Sus scrofa: one gene and its partner. The protein of the gene in region 1 interacts with the protein of each later gene in a pairwise test. Links are inferred from orthologs where the notes say so. Each region holds a gene or a part of one and is shown in the gene's direction. Other genes may lie near its edges.

Region 1 (3,745 bases):
AACTCGCTGTGTAACTTTATAACAAAGTCACTGAGGCAGCGGGAGACCTGGCTTATAGTCATCTTGGGTAATTGTATCTCTGGGCCTCAGTCTCCTTGTCTGTAAAATGGGAATTCCGTCCTGTTTGACAGGCTCGTAAGGAAGCGCTAAAGGAATAATACAAGTGTGAAGGGTAACTTTCCCTCAAAGCTCTTCACACTCACCATATGCAGATCCGGGGCTGGGGTAGCGGCGGCTGCGGGAGAGAAAGCGGATTGGGAAAGGCAGAGCTGCGTTGTTAGTCCTGGCCCGTGGTTCTTTGCCCTTGGTGAATCTCTGGTGGTCTAACAACGCGATACCTTGCCTTCTCATCTTAAAAACTGTGTACTAGCAATACCGGCGGGCTGGGCTTCGGCGATCCCTAAGTACTATTCATGAGCGTATTGACAAGCAGTTCAAGCCTGCCTCTTCACCAAGGCAGCCCGGGAAACAAACGGCCCCCTGCCTGGGAGCCCTTTTATAAACATTCATGAGCAGACCACTCTGACCTGTCCTCACCGGGAACAAGTTGGCTGCAGGATCTTCATTCGCATCCACTGAGGCCACGGTCCCTGACTCGGTCCGCACTCCTGTTCCCATCCTCTTGGCCGATTCATCCAACGAGCTGAGGTCCTTCTCATGGTCTTTCTCATGTTCTCGCCGCAGTTCGGAGTGCTGGTCCAGCTCCGACCGCCTTTTCAGTCGCCGGAATTGGCTGGATTTCCGGCGGATCATCTGGTCGCTCCTCTGTGTCGCGGGTCCCCACCGTCTTTATCCTGCCTCGGTTCTGGGACAGCCGATCTCGGGCGGCGACTGCCAAGGCCTGGCCCTTATCGACGCTTCAGCCAATCTACGCTGCAGAGAGGCCGGGTACAGCCAATCGGCTGGGGGCGTCCCTCCGTCTCAACGGTGACGGTTGCTAAGGAGGATCCAGTAGGAAGGGAGAAAGTGTACCGTGCTCGCCAAACTGTGAGAAGAGAATGCGCATGCATAATAAGATGCAAACCCCGCCCCGGTGCCCTCTCTTCGAAGTTGTTAATCTGAGGCAGGCGGCGTTATTAGGACTGCGGAGTGGAAGTGTGTTGTCAGTTACCATGGCAACTGCCTACCGGCCAATCACTGAGAGAAAGAGGAGGTGTTCAGAAAGAAACCAAACGGACGCAAGAGGAGGAACAAAGCACAACCAATAGAAACAGGAACTGGAGAAGATTTCGCCACATCCGGCGCTGCCTCTGGCGCCTGCGCTCTGTGCTGGGGGGCGGGGGTGCCCAGTGACGTCCGGTGAAGTCCAAGATGGCGGCGCTAGGCTGATCCTGCTGCTGGTGAGGGGCCCGGGGCCGGCGGGGCGGGGTCCGGCAGCTGTGTGCGGGGGTAGGCTCGTGGCTGCGGACCTCCGTCCCCTTCCCCAGCTCTACTCTCTGTCTTCTGCAGGTGACGGAAGTGCCGAGTCCGCCTGCCTGACGTCCTCGAGAGACCGGGGGCCGCTCCTCGCCGCCGCGGCCATGTCTGGGCCCGGCAACAAACGCGCCGCCGGCGATGGGGGCTCGGGGCCCCCAGAGAAGAAGCTGAACCGCGAGGAGAAGACAACAACAACGCTTATAGAGCCCATTCGTCTTGGGGGCATCTCTTCCACGGTTCGTGGGCTCCTGCCCCAGCCCGCCCAACTTCCCAGAACCGTTTTCCCAGTTCCCCAAGTTTAACCAGATCCACTTTACAGAGCATTCTGTTGAAGGAAACCTAGGACATGACGTCTGCCTTCCCCTCGCAGATAGGCAAACAGGTTCCCAGAGAGCGTGTGACAGACATGTCAGACTTCAGGTAGAAAGAGGCAGGAGCAGAACGTGACGCTCCTTACAAACAAGACGCTTCCTCCGTGGGTGTCTGAGCTTTGTATGTCCTGTTAGCAGTCTGCTCCCCTCTCACATCCGTTCTATCTGCTTTCCTTTGTCTCTTTCTCTGATTGGTTTCTTGGGCCCTTCTTGACCCTCTCTCTCCTCGGCCCCTCTGTTTCCTTGGTAGGAGGAGATGGACCTGAAGGTTCTGCAGTTCAAGAACAAGAAACTAGCAGAGCGATTGGAACAGAGACAGGCTTGTGAAGATGAACTCCGAGAACGAATTGAGAAACTGGAGAAGAGGCAGGCTACAGATGATGCCACACTCCTCATTGTCAATCGCTACTGGGCCCAGGTGAATGCCCCTCTCCTTTACAAGACTGGGCTTTGATCCAGCTGCCAGTTCTCAGACTTCTCTGTTAGAAAGGGAGTATCATGCTAGGAAGCACCTGAGGGATTCCTAACATTTTTGGTGCTTTCTCCTTTCAGCTGGATGAAACTGTGGAAGCCCTTCTCCGACACCATGAGAGCCAGGGGGAGCTGTCTTCAGGGCCAGAGGCGCCTGGGACCCAGGAAGGGCCAACGCGTGATGAGACCCCTCTCACAGAGCCAGGAACATCGGAGCTGAGGGGTAGGGCCAGAACCCTAGGATCTAGGAAGCTTAATTAAGTTCTGGGAAAGGTCCTGGAGAGGAAAGGATCTTGATAATCAGGCTGCTGAATTCCCTGCCTATACAAACACACACACACACAATTGATTTTATATTTGGGCAGCAAATCACAGTGGATAAGAACAGAGACTTTGGAATCTGAATGACTTGGTTAAGAGTACAATTCAGGTTTTATTTATTTATTTTTTTTGTCTTTTTGTCTTTTTGTTGTTGTTGTTGCTATTTCTTGGGCCACTCCCGCGGCATATGGAGGTTCCCAGGCTAGGGGTTGAATCGGAGCTGTAGCCACCGGCCTACGCCAGAGCCACAGCAACGCGGGATCCGAGCCGCATCTGCAACCTCCACCACAGCTCACGGCAACGCCGGATCGTTAACCCACTGAGCAAGGGCAGGGACCGAACCCGCAACCTCATGGTTCCTAGTCGGATTCGTTAACCACTGCGCCACGACGGGAACTCCCAATTCAGGTTTTAAAAGTATTACATGTATTTGTATTATGACTGTGTACTTGGCACTGGTGTAGATTTGGAGGAGACAAAGATAGTTAAAAAAAAAAAAATTACTGGGAGTTCCCTGGTGGCTCAGTGGGTTAAGGATTGGCACTGTCACTGTGTGGATGAGTTCGAATCCTGGCCTGGGAACTTTTGCATGCCGTGGGTGTGGCTGGGAAAAAAAAAAAAAGGAAAAGAAACACTGTCTTAGCTATTAGGGTGAAAGTGACTGTAAACCACACACACACATAAAAGCAGAAGGGCTCCTGAATGGGAATTGGTATGTGTGCACTAATTTATTTATTTATTTATTTATTTTTGTCTTTTGTCTTTTTTGTTGTTGTTGTTATTGTTGCTATTTCTTGGGCCGCTCCCACGGCATATGGAGGTTCCCAGGCTAGGGGTTGAATCGGAGCTGTAGCCACCAGCCTATGCCAGAGCCACAGCAACGCGGGATCCGAGCCGTGTCTGCAACCTACACCACAGCTCACGGCAATGCCGGATCATTAACCCACTGAGCAAGGGCAGGGACCGAACCCGCAACCTCATGGTTCCTAGTCGGATTCGTTAACCACTGTGCCACGACGGGAACTCCTTTTTTTGTGTGTGTGTATGTGTGCACTAATTTAGTTTGGGAAGGCAGAGAAGGCATTTCTGAGGAAATGTTTGGAAGCTCTCCGTCCTTGAGGAAATTACCTCCTGGAACCTCAGTCGTTGCCTTTTTTTTTTTTTTT
Region 2 (3,745 bases), on another chromosome or scaffold:
TAAAGGCATCAGATAAAGTCCAAGGTTCTTATAAAGCCTTTCCCACCACACCCTAATCGCATCTTTTTCTATTTTTGCCCACCACCTCTGACTGCAGTTTGCTGGATTCCTCAACCGGTCATCAGCACTGAGAAAGCAGGGGTTTTCCTTCGTTCACCTCAGCCTCCTCAATGTCTAGAACACTGCCTGGCACATAATAAATACAATATTTGTGGTATGGAGTAAAAGGTTGGGTGGCCAGGGAAGGATTCCTAAGGGGGCTGATGCTTGAGCTGGGACTGAAATGCCAAGGAGCCATCCATGCATACTTAAGGGTAGAAATCTTCAGGCAAAGGAATATAAATGCCTAAAGGGTGAACAAGCTTGCCTTACTGGAGGTACAGGAAGAAAGTAAGAATTGTTGGAGCATAGTGATAAAAGAGTAGGACCCTGTAGGTCAGGTTACTTTACATCGCAAAGTCATGAGAGAGTAGTAAAAAAGGAGTAACTGATTCCAGATCGGTTTTGAAAGTAGAGCTGATAAGGTTTACTGATAGTTCATTAGGTAGTAAGTAAGGAGCCAAGAATGACTCCTACCTACATTTTTGGATTAAGCAATCGGATGGATGCGTAAAAGTGAAGGAGCAATAGGTTAGGCTAGGTTAGGCTAGGAGAATGAAAGGTTCATTTCACGCGTGTGAAATTTCAAATGGCCATCGACAAAGCAGATAAGCAGCCGTGGTGTTCACCACAGAGGTCAGGGCGGAGAATATTCACATACACATAATGGAAGTATCCAATAACCACTGGAAACATTACTAAAGCGATCAACAACTCAGAGGGGCGAGAGGTCAGACGACGGTCAGAAGCTAACCGCAGAGCAGCAAGCTCAAGCTAGGCAGGGTCTTTCGGTCCCCAGAGCTGCTCGAGCGGCGCCGCTTCCCGCTTGGGCCCCACCCCGCGCGCCGGGCCTGGCCCAATCTCTCCTCCCAGCTTTCCCGAGTCGGCAGAGGCCCGGAAGTGGGAGAAAGATGAGCACGTACCCGCCAGTCCAGATCCTTTCTTAGATCTTTCTTCACCAAACCGTCTCCGCCTAGCAATTGTCACCTCTCACCACCCTTGCACCTCCAGCCCCCGCCCCTGTTTACGTAGGAAGGAACGCCGGGGACCTCACCTCGCCCCGGAAGTCTAGGCCGTTAGCGAAAGGGCCGCCGGGAAAACCACTGAGAGGCCCGGGGGGGAGTCTGAAGTGGAGGGAGTCTGAACTAGAGCGTCCCTCCTAGACCACCCCCGCCAAGGCGTGGCTCGCGGCCTGCGGGCTCCGGCCGCCTGGGGAGGCGGTGCTCTCCGCGTGGCCCCGGAAGGACTTCCCGCGGAGGCGGGCGAAGGAAGCAGCGGAGAGGCGGAGGCAGCCCGAGGGGGCGGTTGCGTGCGGACGAGGCGGCAGTGGCTTGGTGAGGTTCCAGACGCCGGCTCTCCGGGATCCGAGCCCGCCGAGCCCACCCGGCCACTTCTCCCCCTTGCGCTTCCGGGAGCCGTCGCGAGCGAGTGCGCCTGCGCGCGGGCCACTTCGTGAGCCTCGCCGCTGTCCTCGCGCCGGCCGGCTGCCCGACGGTTCCTGCCGCTCTTCCCGCCCGGCGTCTAGGCTCCGCCGCATACACAACGTGCGGCATGTCACGGCGGCGGCACAGCGACGAGAACGATGGTGAGTGCTCTGGGCCTGGCCGCCGAAGCCGCGCCCAGGTGGGGCCGAGGTTTGGCTTCTTCGGTCTTCAGGTCCTGAGCGAAGGGACGGGAAGCCCTTCCCCCAGGAACTTGCGGGGAGATGGGTGGCACAGCGGGAGTGTGGCTGGGCGACTGCTGGAAAGCTCGTGCTATCCCCCACCGCACCTCTTGAGTCGTCGGCGGAGGGGAGGCCTGGTGCACCCCTGGTCTCTAAGCACTCTTTAAGATAAGGTCCTTGGTACCGCCGAGCAGGGAAGTATATTTGTGTCTGTGCCGCTTCCCCTTAGAGACGGTGACCAGGACTCACTTGTCCCAGTGTCTCGTTTTGACCCTCAAACATCATGTATTAATGGCTCTCGGAAGGTGAGAGATCTGATGAATTGCAATCCCAGCTCTCCTGTGCGGGTCATCCGGGGTTTTGCCTTCTTTCAAACCACTGGGGAAGAAAAATCAGCTTCTTATCCGCACGCGAGAAGTCTTTAATAAATAGATATACGTAGGTCGTTATGTTAGATCTTGAATTGGTTGTAAGCTTATTTCTCTCGTTTAAGAAAAGAATGCCAGAAGACTCACTAGAGAGCTCGTAGAGGTTAGATCGGGGTTCCCATTTGGATATTTGCACTCATGGGGATCCTGGAATTGCCGTCATAGAAACCAGGAATAATTTAGCTAGTTAAAAATAGGAAACGATGCTTACATTAAAAAAACAACAGTCAAGAATACACATCTAGAAAAGCAAAAAGAAACTAAAAATAATTTAGTTATTAATACTTGAAAATAGTGTTGTAAAGTGGTTAAGAGGCCAGACTTTGGAGACAGAGGGTTTAAGTTCAAAGTTAGACCTTGCCATTTATTTTGTGATCTTGCCCAGATTATATCACCTCTTTAAACCTTAGTCTGTAGTATTGGATTAATGATACATGCCTGTTCTTGGTTTTGTGAGGATTAACATATGTAACTAATTGCTCATGATGATATGTATTTTATCATCTGTTAATGCTTAAGAATTGATAAGCATTGGCAGATGTCAACGATGTAGGAAAAAAATACGGATCAAAAAGTTGGATTTAATTAATTTTCTCCACTTATATTTTTCTCTCCTTGAATGTTGGGGCACTCGAGGGTAGGAACCAAATCCCACCTACTTAATTTTAACAATGAAATATCAGTTTTCTGCTAGGACATGGCTTGAGAGGATAGTCTAGTCCAGTCTTGTCACCTGACACCTAAGGGTCTAGATTTAGTATAATTAATGGAGATGGCTGTGCCCAGACACAGGTGAAAGCAAATCCAAGGTTCTTTTTGCTACACATGTATAGTAGGCTGCATGCTTTGATTTTTTTTTTTTTAATCACAGGAGGCTTCTTGTATAATGTACATACAGAGCACAGAAAATAGTCTTCATGTGCTTTGCATTTGATTAATTAAAAACCTAAATCTCCTAGAAGTCATCACTTGGTATTTGGAGAACTTGAGTCTAAATTTAAAGTTGTTCCCATTTTCTTTGCTCTTCTTGTGCTTTTTTTTCTCTTCTCCCTTCTAGGGCATTCCTAAAAGGAGAGGGAGTGTTTCCAAAGGACAGCCTGGAGAATTCGATGTGAATATGTAGTTTGGTTATTGGGATGCTAGCATAACTTTCTTAGGAGTTAGCTTCTGGCAGCTAAAGCACTGTCCATTTGGGTCTTGCTGCAGGAACCTCAGAATAAATAAGACAAAAGAAAAGAAAATAAGGAGTTAATCAAAATCCAACTAGGAACCATGAGGTTGCGGGTTCCATCCCTGGCCTCTCTCAGTGGGTTAAGGATCCGACGTTGCCAGGAGCTGTGGTGTAGGTTGCAGACGTGGCTTGGATCTGGCGTGGCTGTGGCATAGGCCAGCAACTGTAGCTCCAATTAGACCCCTAGCCTGGGAAACTCAACATGCTGTGGGCGAGGCCCTAAAAAGAAAAAAAAAAAAAAAGGAGTTAATCAAAGTTTACTATGAATAATTTAGTAGTAGAGGGGCAGTTAATAGTTCCTCTTAGATACTATCCTGGAACTTC

The links.
Region 2: the proteins of RNF40 (region 1) and NCBP1 interact in binary tests that used the Homo sapiens proteins (3 or more experiments, as listed by UniProt). The two-hybrid records come from large-scale screens. The link is inferred for Sus scrofa from reciprocal best matches to the Homo sapiens genes RNF40 and NCBP1.

What each region holds. Positions count from the first base shown.
Region 1 is NC_010445.4:17,633,454-17,637,198, reverse strand, and holds the start of RNF40 (E3 ubiquitin-protein ligase BRE1B), read left to right. Parts: upstream 1-1,208; 5' UTR 1,209-1,340; intron 1,341-1,449; 5' UTR 1,450-1,520; coding exon 1,521-1,652; intron 1,653-2,037; coding exon 2,038-2,205; intron 2,206-2,339; coding exon 2,340-2,481; intron 2,482-3,745. Other genes in the region: CCDC189 (coiled-coil domain-containing protein 189), read right to left, coding at 204-235, 538-753.
Region 2 is NC_010443.5:239,491,366-239,495,110, forward strand, and holds the start of NCBP1 (nuclear cap-binding protein subunit 1), read left to right. Parts: upstream 1-1,207; 5' UTR 1,208-1,650; coding exon 1,651-1,684; intron 1,685-3,745. UniProt on the Homo sapiens protein: Component of the cap-binding complex (CBC), which binds cotranscriptionally to the 5'-cap of pre-mRNAs and is involved in various processes such as pre-mRNA splicing, translation regulation, nonsense-mediated mRNA decay, RNA-mediated gene silencing (RNAi) by microRNAs (miRNAs) and mRNA export.